Linked DNA regions of Rhinolophus ferrumequinum. The protein of the gene in region 1 interacts with the protein of each later gene in a biochemical or structural test. Links are inferred from orthologs where the notes say so. Each region holds a gene or a part of one and is shown in the gene's direction. Other genes may lie near its edges.

Region 1 (8,170 bases):
AAACATGGGTCTAGATCCATGGAGCTTCTTTGGTATTGAGAGGGGAAAGCCTGGTACCAGAGGAATGGTGATTGTTATCCCTTCATGTATGTCCTGTACGGAGGACATATTCTGAATTCATTAGTACAGTTGCATCCTGCATCAAATAAACTGCTAAACCATGAAGATGAGATCATTTGAGTTGTGGTGTGCAGCTTTCAGTCCTCTTAAATAAATATTCCTTCCCTCCTATCTTTAGACCCGCAAAATCCTGTCTGCCTGTGAGAAGAACCCCACAGATGTCTACCAGCTCAATTATGACATGCACAACCCTTTCGATATCTGTGCTGCATCTTATCGGCCCATCTACCGTGGAAAGCCAGTGGAGAAATGTCCACTCAGTGGAGCCTGCTATTGCCCGGAGTTCAAGGGTCAAATCTGCAGGGTCACTACAGTAAGTACTGTCCTTGAGAAATGCATCCAGAATATTGAGGGAAGGTGAACGAGAAAGAAGCATGTTGGTCCTTTTTCTCCTCTATTTGCCCCTAGCTCCTGGAGACAGTGATACTGGAGAAAGCTAGAACTTCTCCCCATTGCTCTTTACCAATCAGTAACAAACAATAACAAATCACTCTACTGTGCTCATTGAGGAGTGGAGGGAGTAAGCTTTCTAGGCTTCTCACCCTCACAAACCCGTAAATTTTTCTTGTTTCCTCTTCTACAGGTGACAGAGATTGGCAAAGATGTGATTGGTTTAAGGATTAGTCCTCTGCAGTTTCGCTAAGGCCCTCTTTGTGTGTAAAGGGTCAATCACCATACCATCCGCCTCCCACTGCCCCAGAGAATTAGTCTCTGTGTCCTTGTAACTCCCTGTTCCTTAACTACCTTTCAAATTGACATTTAGCTCTCCCTACCCTAAAATGTAGTGTCCTTTTCTCTTCTTCTGTGGCTAATCAAATGTCTAAACTTGACTTTTCTTTTTTTTTTTTTTTGCCTTTGAGGACCTTTCATTCTTTCAAGGTCACTACTATAGTTGCAGTCACAATTGCAGTCACAGTTGAACTTGCCTTCCCAGCTTAGCTCTTTCAAGAAACAAATGAAAACTTAGTGGTGAACATTTGTTTAGTAAATTCCTTCAATATTTATCTTTTTCCTCTTCACCACCTTTTTTCCTTTTTTGCTAGAAAGGAATGGGATATAATAAATAAGATAGCATCTTTTGCTCAATCACAGCAAACTCTTAGCCATCCCCCATTTTAAACTCCCAGGCAGGTACCCTCTGTGTGCCCAGAAACTTAAAGTCTAAGAAGAAACTTTGGCTTTTCAAAAACGCACATCCCTTTTTATTGATTTGTTCTTTACAACCATTGTTCTTATTTTTTGTTTCTCACACTAAATAAATTTCTACAAGAATTTTATGGCTTGCTATTTGTTTCCTGGATACGCTCATGTTCCTGCTTACTCCATGCAGCTGCCCCACCAAAGCAGATGTCTTTCCTTCGATAATTATTTCTAATTACAAAATAATAAATACCCGTTGTTAAATTTTTTTTCCCATAGGATATATTAAACTGCTATGAGAATGGTAGAAAGTAAGTGGCTCCCTCATTTCATCATTGAACTGCATCCTTCTATCTATTGCTGATTATACCAATATTTATTGAGCACCTGTAACTGTTCTGGATGTTTTATATATCAGATTAATTAGTATTAAACACGTTGTATTTATTACAATTATTATATTAGCAATACAGTATTTTGCTTGTTATGTGCTAAGACTATACAGTGACATGCTGTGCCTTTGATTAAAGTATGTACTTTTTCATTTTAAATTCATGTTTTCAATAAACAGTACACTCATATGATTCAAAAATCAGTAAATGTAAAAAGCTATTTTGTGACGTCTTCCTCCCATCCCTTTCCTCAGCCACATAGTTCCTATCACCTTCCCCAAAACAAGAAACCACTGTTGTTAGCTTCCTTATCCTTCCAGAGATTTATGTATATACAAACAGATAGGAATATGTTTCTCCCTATCCCCCTGTTATACATAAATGGAAGCAGGCTATTTAAAGATTTTGCACCTTATTAATGTTTTCACTTAACATATTTTAGGGATTTTTTTTTCATCTCATTATATTAGAGAGCTTCACTCTTTTTTACTTCTTTGCATAGTGTACCATGTATTATTTACTACGATTTATGTAAGTTGCCTTCTTGATGGATATTTGAGTTATTTCCAGTCTATCTCTGGCTATTATAACAAGGCTGCAATGAATAACTTGAACACACATTATACAGGTGGGGGATAAACTAGAAATGGAATTCCTACGTCAAAGAGCACAGGCCTTTATTTTTCTTTTTAGCTTTAAGAGTCGCTTTCTAAACATAGTATCCCCAAGCTGAGCCTGTTTTTTCAAAAATTTGCATACTACTTTGATAACATTTTCTCAAGTTATAAGCATTCTTTATATATATATAAATTTTTTTATTTTTATTGTTTATTGTTTTAACTTTTAATGGGGGAATACTGGGGAACAGTGTGTTTCTCCAGGGCTTATCAGCTCCAAGTCGTCGTCCTTCAGTCTAGTGGAGGGCACAGCTCAGCTCCAAGTCCAGTCACTGTTTTCAATCTTTAGTTACAGGGGGCGCAGCCCACCATCCCATGTGGGAATTGAACCAGCAACCTTATTGTTAAGAGCTCACACTCTAACCAATTGAGCCATCCGGCCGCCCCTCTGGCAGCTCAGCGACCGCTCGTTGCCTTCAATCTAGTTGTGGAGGGCGCAGCTCTCTGGCCAATGTGGGAATTGAACTGGCAACCCTGTTGTTCAGAGCACGCGCTCTAACCAACTGAGCCATCTGGCCGCCCTGCATTCTTTCTGTAAACAAGCAAATTGGTGATACATTTTGGCAAAAAAATTTTTTTCTATGTTTAAAAATTAAATTACAAAATTAACTTCACATATAAATATAAACATTCTGAACTCAGGGATATGAAAAAAGTGTGCAATCTGTGCCTCTTGAAGCTTAGGGAATTGGGGAAACAACATGGATATATGTGAAATAATTGTGAATACCGGGCAAGAATTTGAAGTCGGTAAATAAACAGTGGAAAGCCATTATATCCTTAAGCGAGAGAGTGATATAAAAAAAAATGCTGTAAATTACTTTTTTGCAACAGTGTTCACTATACATTAGAAAGGCAGAAGGTGAGTAAATATGAGATGAAGTGTTAGGAGTATCAGTAGTAAAAACAAAAGCAGAAGCAAGTTTAAGATACAAAGCAAAGAACCGTGCTTGTTTAGAACTCCATCTTAATCTTCTCAATTACCATCTAGTATTTTCCTTAACATGATTATATAGCCACATTAATGAAAAGCCAATAGAAATGCCTGTTATATTTTTAAACATGCACTTGATATACCATGCTTCCCTGAAAATAAGACCTAACTGGAAAATCAGCTCTAATGTATCTTTTGGAACAAAAATTAATATAAGACCCGGTCTTATTTTACTATAAGACCGGGTCTTATATTAATTTTTGTTCCAAAAGACATTAGAGCTGATTGCCCAGCGAGGTCTTATTTTCGGGGAAACACGGTAGTTATAGTTATATTAGGCATACACATGTAAGCAGTTTGGAATTGAATGAGCAAGTTAGCCTGTAATAAATTGTTACAAGTGTTGATTATAGAACTATTGAAAAGTACCTTGGAGTCCCAACTGTATTGTTACATACTTGTAATCTGAGGTCTAAATTGGTGAAGGGTTTTGAACAGAGTAATTTATTGACAGAGTTGGGTCTCCCAGTTCAGAATGTGTTCTCCCAAGTCACACTACTTGTGCTTAGAAGAATACAGTAGTTTTTGCACAGGTATGATTTTACAAGTCTGTGCCCTATCTGTAAAGGAAAGAAAACGTACCTAATCTGGTGCTTGACACAGTATTCAAGTGTTTGGAAAGCTAAGGATGAAAGTCATGAAGTGACTCTTTTCATTCTGATGTGATTTCTCCCTTTTAAACTTTATGGCACTTTACCCTGAGCTTTTTAAAGACACTTTCCTTGTGCCATTCTTACTGTGTGTATGTGTAGTCCTACCTCCAGCCTAATCCCCAGTCAGCAAGGGCTGATCCTGATTTATCTCTATCTTCCACTGTGAGCTGCAACAGGTCTTAAACAACAGCAGATGTCCTGTAAGTGCTAAAATAGATTTGTGTCTGAAGCAGTTTATGTATTATGACAGATCTGAATAGGAGAACAATCTCAGAGGAGGAAAGGGATGTCTAGAGTTGTCTCTATGTGAGCCTCTCCAACTTCACTCCATTGGAGGTTGCGTTCTGTACAGAGAAAAGGAGATGGATCAGGGAAGGCAGGTCTATTACTACTACATTCAAATTGCCCTCTTGTTCAGTCCAAGGTCCCAGAGTCTCATTTCCTGCCTGAATTGATTCAACCAACATTGAGTCGTAACAAGTCCTGGCCCTGTGTCCTTTAGTCTAACAGTTCTAATGGAGAATAGGAAAGGAGAGATGTCCATTAGGTCCCACAGAGAAACGTGTTTCATAAGGATCTGGGAGAACAAAGGATGGCCAATGAATGCCTACTAAGTTTTAGGCCCTAGCCTAGGAGCTGAGAATACAGCATTGAAGACAACAGGACGAAAATCCTTGCCATCACGGTGTTGAAATTCTAGGGGGGAGGGGTGGAACTGGGAAGGGGAGACAATAAGCAATATAAGTAAAATATATATTATGTCAGAAAGAGTTAAGTACTGAAAAAAATAATGGAAGAGCTACTTCTCTGGGTAATCAGGGAAACTGAATGAAAGGAAGCCAGGCCAGTAAGAAACCTAGCAAAAGATAACAGTAAGTTTCTATGTTAGTTCAATGATTCCTGGCGTAAGGGGAAAAAACCCACCCCAAATCGAGTTTCCTGTCCCTTTGGGGCGGCTCCGTACTGCCCCAAATTAGTATTGGTCGCAGAGGCGGAAAGGGTGGAGCGCGGGGGGCCTAGCGGAATCCCGCCTCCTACGGCGAGTCAGAGGTAGCAAGATGGCCGCCGCGGAGGAGGACTGTGCGGTCAGCGCCGAAGCGGACCGGGAATTGGAAGAGCTTCTGGAAAGTAAGAGTCCATAATGGAAAGAACCGAGGAGGGCGGGTATGAGAACCCATTCAAGGAGTTAAGTGAGCCTGAGATATTTGGGGCGGAGCGGGGAAGGCTGTCCAAAGATTGGACGGGTGCGGAGGGTCTGACTGCGATCCCGATTTCTGGGTCCCCCTCATCTTCCTCCGCGGCGGGAGCTGCGGCCTTCACGTTGGGCCCCTGAGAGCCCAGACCGTTGATCTCTCTGCCAGAGGGGAAACAGTAACCCAGGGGACTGCGTTTGACGATCCAGTTCCAAACCCTCCTTCCCTTTAGTAAGTTCTTGAAGTCGAACTTCATTCGGTCCTCGGTGGGCAGCAAACCAGACACTCGCAGATTGCTTACATTAACTCTTAACAAGCCCGTAGCTCACTCTGCTATGCACTGCCTTATCCTTAACATAAAAGACACTTTCCTGCTCCCAGTCCTTTCACCTTTGTCTCACCAGGCCCCTTTTCAGTTATTTCATCAGGTCAAAGCTGAAGCCGACTCCCTTGCCATTATTTTGAAAAATAGAGGATGAGAAGGTCTCAAGGAAGACAGTTCACCCTACTGAAAGAGGGTGGATGTTCTTTTCTTCCTGAACCCTGTCCTCCACTCCTCTTGGTTTCTTGCCCAGAGTGGAGCCAGTGCCCTTCCCCTAGGCCTGGCAAGCAGAAGGTAGTGAGGACACAGGCTTTTCAGGGCAGAGGTGAATATTTTTTTGTCTCTTGCCCAGTCACAGAGATGTGGGCAGGTGGAAGGACAACAGAAACAGTGAATAAGTGATTCAGCAACAGTGCCAAGTGATTCTGTGTGAATTATCTGCTCACAGTTATCTGCAGAGATGGGGCCAGAGGGAACTAGCTCTAGGAGCTTTGCCCAGGGAGGCCTAAGTTGAAGGATAAGAAAAGAGAGTTTAATGCCCTTCCCTGGAGTGCAGTATGGAGTCCCTCAGTTTCTAGTTGTATCAGGATCCATGAGGAGCTGGGTGGGACATTTGTGGCTTTTGCTTTCTTGCAGAAGATTATTCCTTTCAGGGATCCAGAGTGAGTTCAGGGGGTTAAGGACATTTGTGTTCTCTGTGCCTGTTAGATATTTGTATAAGATTTCTAGGGAATCATTAGAGTGTGGCAGGGAAGGCACTGTGTAGATGGAGATGTCTCTGCAGAACTTCTTTTAACCCTCTCCTCCCAGCTCTGAGAGAGATGCCTGTTCCTTAAGATGTTTCTTCCCCTTTGATCATAATAAATTAGGTAATGGGGAGGTAAGTGGGAGGCTTACTGAGGGGAGGGCCAGGAAAGGGACACTCAGAAAAAGAAAAATTTAGGAACGTGGGCAGTTTGAAAAATTGTTCTCTCAGTGCTTTACCCAGAAACCCCTCATTCCTTCATCCTCATCCATCCCCAAAACTCATACCATGTCTCTTGTCTCTGAAGGTGCTCTTGATGATTTCGATAAGGCCAAACCCTCCCCAGCACCCCCTCCTACCACTACAGCCCCTGATGCTTCAGGGACCCAGAAGAGATCGCCAGGAGACACTGCCAAAGTATAAATTCTACCCATTTAAGGGAGGGGAGGGGATGGCATGCAACTCTGAGCAGAGGTGGGGCAGGCCCCAGTGGGCCAGAGGGGAGTGAGGGGAGGGTGCCTTGGCCTCACACTGCTGAGTGCTCTTGCAGGCCTCAGTCCTTGTGAAACAGGGAATTGACTTGAGGTGGAGTTTAGAGATCTCAAGGGGATTCCTTAAGAAAGGAAATTTAAATGATTGGTTTGGGAATACCACTCCATACTGACAGATACCTTCTTGCTGTCCTTATTAAGAGAGGTCATTAGAATGTTCAGTGAAAGTGGGTAGGAAGAAGACACTGCATTTCTCAGAGCCTCTGCCTGTGGTTTCTGTCAGAAACCAGGTGCAGTGCAGTGCCAAGTAAGAGATGCATTTTGGCCACTCCTCCCCTGCAGGATGCCCTCTTCGCCTCCCAAGAGAAGTTTTTCCAGGAACTTTTCGACAGCGAGCTGGCTTCCCAAGCCACTGCAGAGTTCGAGAAGGCAATGAAGGAGTTGGCTGAGGAAGAGCCCCACCTGGTGGAACAGTTCCAAAAGCTCTCAGAGGCTGCTGGGAGAGTGGGTGAGGGGGGTGCCTGACAACTGGAAATATCTGAACAAATCTCTTCTTAAGTCATCGTTGCTTGAAAACCCCAAAATTCTTAGTGAAGTTGATAGTCATGATACCACTTCTATGGGGGTAGGGCAAGGAGATGGGAGGAAGGATGGGCACGCTGCTTAATGAAAGGGGTGAAATAAGTGGAAAGTAATAGGAAAGATTATTGAAAGCTGGTCATGTAAATGGTCGCAGTGTTTTCGAAGGTGTCATCATGGAGAACAAACTGACATGTAGTCCATGTAGATTGGTGAAAATGACTATAAAGATAACTATAAAGATTTGGAGTAATCGTGACTCACTAGTAAATGCTCCATGTCCAAGCTGGTAACCAGGTCAGCCTAGGTAAGCAAACAGTTAAAATCCTTAATGACCTTGGTTCTTTTGATCTCTTAGGCAGTGATGCGACTTCCCAACAAGAATTCACTTCTTGCCTAAAGGAGACACTAAGTGGACTAGCCAAAAATGCCACTGATCTGCAGGTGAGGGGGGGTGGGCAGGAATGGAACCACAAGGGGCCCACTCCTAGACACTTCACCAGCAGATTCTCAAAGACAGAGTTTCTTGGGTATCATCTCAAGTCTGTCTCTGCCTCACTGTTTTGCTATAGGCAAGTTTAAATAGTTCTTTCCCACCTGAAAGGGTAGTAAGCATCCCAAGAAGGCAATGTACTTGCTCATCTCTCTCCTGTCCTTTTTAGAACTCAGGCATGTCAGAAGAGGAGTTGACCAAAGCCATGGAAGGGTTGGGCATGGATGAAGGGGAAGGGGAAGGCAACATCCTCCCCATCATGCAGAGTATCATGCAGAACCTACTGTCCAAGGATGTGTTGTACCCATCACTGAGGGAGATCACAGAAAAGGTATGTGAACTTCTATTTCTGCTTTTCTTCCTTGCTCTCC
Region 2 (7,634 bases), on another chromosome or scaffold:
ACACATATATACTAATCATCATAGCATATGTACTATTTCCAGTTTTCAAAATGTTTTCACATACGTTATTAGATATTGTCCCTTAAAATCCTGTGAGGTGGATGTTATCATCATTCCCATTTACAGAGGAGAAAACTGAAGGTGGAAATTGATGAGACTGGGATTCAAATCCGTGTCTTCTAGCTCCAAATTCTAGGCTTTGGATTCAGACAGACAGTTCATATCCTAGCTTGCTCACTTAATAGCTGTGTAACTTTGGGCAGGTTGCTTAACCTCTCTGTGCCTCAGTTTCTTCATCTGAAAATAGAGACAATCATAGTATGTACTTACCTAATAGATCACTATGAGGATTATATGAGAGGTTGACATATAATAATGCTATATGAATATTAGATATAATTATTTCCAAAATAATAGAAACAACTAATACATAGGAAAAATGACTACTGTTGCTAACTCCTGGGCATATTTTAAAAATTATAAGAAACTGTGTGTTCATGTTTATACAGCTATATGTGTGTGTGTGTATATACGTATATATACACATATATAATTACTATCTGTCTCTGAAAAAAAATCACTACTAGGATCAAATATATTTCATAAAATGTTACATATTTTATATGGAAGTATTCTATTAAATGTCAAAGCTCTCTGTATTTTACCATAAATGTTAAAGATCTCTGTATATTACTTTTGTTGTTATTAATAGCAGTAAATAATGATTTTGATAGCATTTACTTCTAGAGGATTGCAAATGCCTCTGTAAGTAAAATGATAATATAGAAAACAGAAAAAGAAAAAAAGGCAACCAAATCCACAATGCTTCCACTTAATAGAAGATCTCAGGACTATCACCCCCCTCTGTTACATCTCACTAATATCTGGTGAGAAGCACTATTTTGTGATATTCTGTCTAGATACTCTTTAGGAAAGGTCTGTACAAACAGTAAACGCACCAGAGAATTGCTCCACAAAGATATGACTATATTAAACGCTACATATAATCACTTAAAAAAGAACTTACATTTTATGGTAATGGAAATTCCAAAATCAACATTATCAGTAATTATTATAGTTTTTTAAATTTAATGAAGTTATGGATAGATATTTGCCTTCTAATGTACAGGCATTCATTTAAAAACTTTCTTAACTTAAAAAAAATGAAAATACCTCATAGGAAAGTTTGTAAGGTGCATGAAAATCCACACCACAGAATCTGAAGATACATCTTGGACAAGTCCCAGTACTGAGCAACAACTGGGCCACATGCTTGTTTTCCTCAGTCAGCGGGAACATATTGAATAATTATAACTAGAAAGAAATAAAAAGTAAAGCTAATGATCATCTTTCGTGTTTTACTTCACAGACAAATATGTTATCACCTTTAGGGATAAAAACTAGCTATTATTTGAAAAACGCTATTTCATACTTTCCAATAATGTCCCTTTCATTATGTGCATATTGAAACATAAACGTGAAGGAAATTAGATGAATCAGGTAAAAGTTTCTAACTGTCAAGGAATTTAGTTTAGCATTCTGGATTATGATAAAGTACATCAATATAACTAAATCAATCAAAAGAAATAAAAATAAAATTATTAATAAAGAATGGTTTTCTCTGACATGGGTAATGAAAACAAGAGTACAGAGTAAAAATTTGCTTTTTATTTCGTACCATTTAGTATTTTTGAGAACACAGAGTAGTAAATTCAATAAACTTTTCCTATTATAAATGAAAAATGAGTTTGCTAGAAAAAAAATCACATAAATCTATATTGTATAATTCTTGACTAACCGTCATGATAGCTAAGCAGTCAAGTATTTAAAACAAATTGATCAGTAGATCCAAAAATGTCAATTTTACTTTGATGAAATAACTAAATGACAACCACCAGCAAAAGGAGAAAAATCTTTTCACACACAAGTAAAACCTCCAACAAAAACAAATTAAACACAAAATATTTAAGAGTAATTGTTATCTGAAACAAGTTGCTACTTTTTGCAACTTTTTTTTTTTATAAACTCGCTTAGAAACAAATACTACATAGAGAAGAGGGGATCCAATGTAACTCTCTTGTTGCCAGGAAGGAGGGGTATTAAAAATTAAATTACCTAATCAGTCTGTTTGGCAAAAATAGATGTTCTTCTGATTAATGAAGCAGTCCACATTACTTTACAATGAGGAACTAGCAATGTTTTGTAAAACAATGATTGTATGGTAATGTGGTATGGTTTACTGTGGTCACACTGATACAAGACTGTAGTAACTTTTAATTTGTGCAGTTTCATTAATTCAAATGAACTTGCTTAAAATTTGTGGGAGGCTGAAGCTCTTATTAACTGCTTACTATGAAAATGTAATTTTCAGAATTTGTGTTTTTTCAGCCCTTTAAAACCCACTACTTACTTGCAAGTTTCTAAATGTTTGTGGCCACTTATCAAGAGTAGATCCTTGACACAAAATAATGAGGAAGACAGGTATATAATTCTACAAAACTCTTCACCATAAAAAACAGTTCAGCAGCCAGGACTACAAAAAAACAAACAAACAACCACAAACAGATTGCCTCTAGCTGGGTTCTAGCTAGAATATGTGAGTTGGCAGGGAGAGGAAGAGAAGAAAATTAGGACACACCAGACTGGGAAACACCAATTTAAGGTTGTGTAAGTAAATCTGGGCTCCGGGAAATTTTCATGAAAGTACACAATATTCGGAGAACACTCTCTACATGATGAACTCTGTGTGGTCATTATTTTTGACAAGTGATCTGAATCCTTTCCCAGTCCTTTTAACCTGCTAGTTTGATGCTGAGAAAGGGTTGAGATTCTGTGAGGGGCTGATTATCAGCCTTTAAAGTGTATCCCTCACTGCACTCCCCTCACAGAGGAACTGTTTCTGTTTCACCCTTTATTTTATCTTTACTCCTTTCCATTGGTTAAGGTCGAGGATTTCATTTAATTCAGAATTAACCTTTAACTCAGAAAGAGAAACAAATAACCCCTCCTCCCCAGTAAATAAAGAGATGAGTAAGTGCTTAAAAAGACAGTTTGTATCAATGATTTCCCTGGAGACTGAAGTTAAATAGTTTTATTAAAATGTATACTTTCTTTCCTTCTGCTTAAAGACAATGTTTATTTCTCCAATAGGTTCACTAGAATAAAGTTATCACGCAAGGTATGATACATTACCTCTTTGCTCTGAGAAGTTCCCAAACCTTTTGAGAATTAGGAAACCTCCTGTCCTGAGTAATTTGAAGAGGTCTTAAACAAAACAAAACAACAACAAAAACACTATTGAGTGTGTATGTGTTATTAATTGAATGGACTTAACAAAGCTCTCAAGAACACTTTCACTTAGCAACAATCTAGCGGCTTCACAAGAACGTTAACACTGAAAGGAGGAAATACGCCATGCCTTAAATTTGGTTGTTTCATTTTATATACAGCACTGAAATGATAGGATTTCATAAAGACATCAGAAATCGGTTGTTCCATATGAGGTTTATTATCTTTGAAAGCAAGCCCTGAGAAATGCATCTCATTGTTGGTTGCCTTTAAGATTTTTGCTTTTCGTTTACGTGTTTGTTTTACAGAAAGAAATGGAACCAGTCATTGCAACAAAACTTTCTCCCATGTGTCAGGATCCCCAAGGGGACAGAGTCCCTTCTCCAAAACCAATAATAACTAGCCCAGACTCTGGTTTACTGGAGGAAAGGAAGAACTTTTTTTTCACCTCTCGGAATATTACAGAAACAATTCATTGCAAATAGAGAAGGAGCAAGGCATGTGAAAAACCACCAAAACAACCAGGCTGTCTCACTTCCCGTGATATTTTAAAACTCATTCCATACTGCAGGGTGTCATTCGTCTCGTGGGGGTGGGGTGGGGTGTGGATTTCCAAAGAAGGAGGCGCTGACAACTCCATTTCGCTACGGATGCACTCAGCTGTGGAATCCACTCTAAACCCCCGGAAATTCATCCAAGATCTAACCTCGACTCTCTTTTTTAGCCAGACAAGACCTTTCCCCCGCTTCTGTCAAGTTCAAAAAACTTCCCACTCAGTCATCCTTGCTAACAAAGATCCTCCACGCAGGAAGAAAACGACCCCCTCCATCCACACCTCTCCTGCACCCAGTCCGCACCCCTTGACCTCAGATCTCCCTGCCTCACCTTCTCCCACGACGCCGGAGCCTGAGATTTAACCCTTTACGGTCCTCACAGGGAACGGGGAAGACTAAAGACAACGCACCTATTGCGCTAGAAATTGTGTTCCCCGAGGAAACGAGAGCTTTAGAAATGAAAGTACCAGCCCCTCTCGGGAGGACTGAGTGAACTGTCCCCTGCTTGTTAGCAGAAATACCAGTAAAACCGCCTGGCCTGCTGCCACACACCCCGCCTCTCCCGCGGGTGTAGGGGTGCCTGGAACGCAATTCCGGGCCTAAACCGGACAAGTCCCCGAGAAGCCTCCGAGAGACTCCGATGTCTAAGACATTGTAGCAGCTGCCCGAAATATCGATGAACCCTTACCTTATCGGTGAAGTTTAGAATAGAAATTCTTTCTAGGGCAAATGAGAGCCTTCCCTCCGCCCTACCCCCCACGATAGTGACATCCTCCTATCCTCTGGTCCTAGCTGGCAAAACACCACAGCCAAGTATTGACTGCTGGTGTGGGCCGGGTAGAAGGCTCGGTGTTCTGCCCATTGTGCCTGGTGCGCGAGGTGCGGGTGCACTCAGGCCTGGAGAGTCCAAACTCCCAGCGGCAGCCGAGAGGAGGCGGAGGAGATGGCGTCCCAGCCGCCGCCTCCCCCGAAGCCCTGGGAGATCCGCCGAATTCCGGGGGCCGGGCCGGGACCAGGACCCGGCCCCAATTTCCAGTAAGTGTGGGATACTTTAGGCCGCGAATTTGGTGGGCCGGAGCGGGGAATTGGCTGGAGGCGGTTGAGGCCGTTGTTGGGGCCAGGTTTCCCCTCCCCCTCTCTACCAGCCCCCTAACCTTGCGGGGTAGAGATGGGGCCCAGGGCGGCCTAAGGGGAGAATTTCGGTGTCTGACAGCAGTTTCTGACCCGACTTCTCTCGGTAGCGACGTTCTTCTGGGAGCTCCTGGGTGTCTCTCTGGATCCCAGTGCTTGGAAGAAAGGGAGCGGCTTCCTACCCCTTTCTGTTTGCGGGACACCTTGACGGTACCGCTGGACCCCCTTTTAAAGCGTTAGACTCTTGATCTGTAACAGGAGAGTGGCGTTTGCCTAGTCCCAGCTCGATGGGGAGAACAGTCTCTCTAAAGCTTTTACTCTCTCGAGCTGTTGAAAGCCGAAAAGGTCACTTTTACGCAGCTGAAACCTAAGCCACTACACTTTCCGTTCTTTTCCAGCATAACTCTGCAACGTTTCGGGCAGAGATTTTGAGAAGCAACTTTAAAGCGGGAGTTCTAAATCTGAGGCTTTTGGATGGCCTCTGTGTGTAAAATAGTGTGTGATTTTTCCAAGGCCTGTGTTTTTTTGTTTGCTTTTAGTCAGTATTAAATAGATCTACAACTCAAGAATTGGAATAGCATAAAGAAAAGAGTTTCACAGCCTTATGTGTTTTGCGTTGGGTGGATCTGGACATCTTAATTCAGATAATTAGACTCGAATGTCACAACACCTAACACACACAAATCCCTGACATAATGGAATGTATTTCTGCTCTATTCCAAAATGTTGTAGTCTTTTATTTAAACGCTAAGATGCTTGAACACAACAGCTACTTAATTTAATAATAATAAATACTTAGCAATTAATAAGCTTTAATTATGCGGTTAAGCCGTGGTGACAGTTTGTACTACCCTTTTTATAAGTGATTTGACTTATTAAAAAAATCTAGACAGCTCTTTGGAAGAGAGGGGTTTTATTTTTGCATTTGTTAAATTTCTGTTTATCTAAAATGAACCATTTCCCCCCTTTTTTTCATTGTGAATTATTTTAAATGCATAGAGACCGATAGAGAGTAAGATGATGAATACATGTGTATTCACTCCAACCTTTAAGAAATAATGTTTTGCCAGATTTGCCTCAGATTAAAAAAAAAAAATTAAAGAAACAGATAAACTCTCTCATTCCTCTTTCCTGCAGTAACTACTGCACCTATTTGGTGTTTAGGATACCCAACAGTTTTTATACTTTATTTTATATTTTAGTACTTAGGTTTGTATGTACATTTTACGTACCATGTTTCCCCGAAAGTAATACCTAGCCGGTCTTATTTTCGGGGAAACATGGTATATATGACTATATTAAAAGTATATACGAAGTCTGACAATTAAGTTCACGAATTTGTTGCAACGAAGTTGCTAACCTTTTTTGATATCAGAGGGATTATTCACTATGAATTTGTACCAACTGGACAAACAGTTAACCAAGTTTGCTATTTGGAAGTGCTGAAAAGGCTGCATGAAAAAGTTACATGACCTGAACTTTTCGCCAACAATTCATGGTTCTTGCATCATGACAGTGCACCAGCTCACACGGCACTGTCTGTGAGGGACTTTTTAGCCAGTAAACAAATAACTATATTGGAACACCCTCCCTACTCACCTGATCTGGCCCCCAGTGACTTCTTTCTTTACCCGAAGATAAAGCAAATATTGGAAGGAAGACATTTTGATGACATTCAGGACATCAAGGGTAATACGACGACAGCTCTGATGGCCATTCCAGAAAAGAGTTCCAAAGTTGCTTTGAAGGGTGGACTAGGTGCTGGCATCAGTGCATAGCTTCCCAAGGGGAGTACTTCAAAGGTGACCATAGTGATATTCAGCAGTGAGGTATGTAGCACTTTTTCTAGGATGAGTTCGTTAGCGTAAATTGTCAGCCTCGTATACACATTTATATTTTTTCCTCCTGCTGAGTAGCTACAGTATTCATGCTCAGTACCCCAGTGTTCAGCCCAAGGATACATACCTTTCTTTAATTCAGGAAAATTCTTACCATTTATATCTCTAAGTATTGTTTGAGCACTATTCTTTCACATCTCTTCTTCTGAAACTGCTATTAAACATTAGATCAAGAATAGTTTCTTCTACAAGTAACAATTTATGATTTGCTATGCTGTGGACTATTAAGACATTTATTGTTTAATTAGCAAGAAGTGAAGAGATCTGTTAATTCAACATTGTCATCAAGGGACCTACATTTTTCATGGCTTCCTTTTTTTTTTTTTTTTTCTTTCCCTGTCAGCTTTCTAACAGTTTTGGTCATCTCAGTCTTATTCTTACTCCTTCAAAAGGAATCTTTTTTCTTCTGGGTGCTTTCAAGATTTTCTCTTTGTTTTTGGTTTTCAGGAGTTACACTTTGTTAAACCTCACTGGTTTTCTTTGTGTTCTTTTTTTTGGGGGGGGGAGTTTCAAGAATCATAGAGATTCTTGAATCTGACTTGATGTCTTTCATTAGTTTCAGAAAAGTCTCTGAGACATGATCTCTTTAAATATTGCTTCTGCCCATCATTTCACTCCTTCGAATACAATCACATATATTCACTGTACATCTGTATCTGGCACTTTTTTGTTTGTATGCTTTTGTTACTCATGCTCCATTCTGGGTATATTTTTCTGAAGAACTCTCTTCTAGTTCACTGATATTTTTCCTTCAGTCTGTCTA

The links.
Region 2: the proteins of PEX19 (region 1) and PEX13 form a complex in vitro, tested with the Homo sapiens proteins (2 studies listed by BioGRID and IntAct, with this or other methods). The link is inferred for Rhinolophus ferrumequinum from reciprocal best matches to the Homo sapiens genes PEX19 and PEX13.

What each region holds. Positions count from the first base shown.
Region 1 is NC_046305.1:28,254,512-28,262,681, forward strand, and holds the start of PEX19 (peroxisomal biogenesis factor 19), read left to right. Parts: upstream 1-5,021; 5' UTR 5,022-5,034; coding exon of another isoform or gene 5,035-5,104; intron 5,105-5,585; 5' UTR 5,586-5,644; coding exon 5,645-5,816; intron 5,817-6,543; coding exon 6,544-6,653; intron 6,654-7,069; coding exon 7,070-7,235; intron 7,236-7,664; coding exon 7,665-7,750; intron 7,751-7,968; coding exon 7,969-8,130; intron 8,131-8,170. Other genes in the region: COPA (coatomer subunit alpha), read left to right, coding at 239-433, 704-763. UniProt on the Homo sapiens protein: Necessary for early peroxisomal biogenesis. Acts both as a cytosolic chaperone and as an import receptor for peroxisomal membrane proteins (PMPs).
Region 2 is NC_046296.1:27,975,987-27,983,620, reverse strand, and holds the start of PEX13 (peroxisome biogenesis factor 13), read left to right. Parts: upstream 1-4,596; 5' UTR 4,597-4,785; coding exon 4,786-4,877; intron 4,878-7,634. Other genes in the region: tRNA pseudouridine synthase Pus10, read right to left, coding at 1,174-1,299. UniProt on the Homo sapiens protein: Component of the PEX13-PEX14 docking complex, a translocon channel that specifically mediates the import of peroxisomal cargo proteins bound to PEX5 receptor.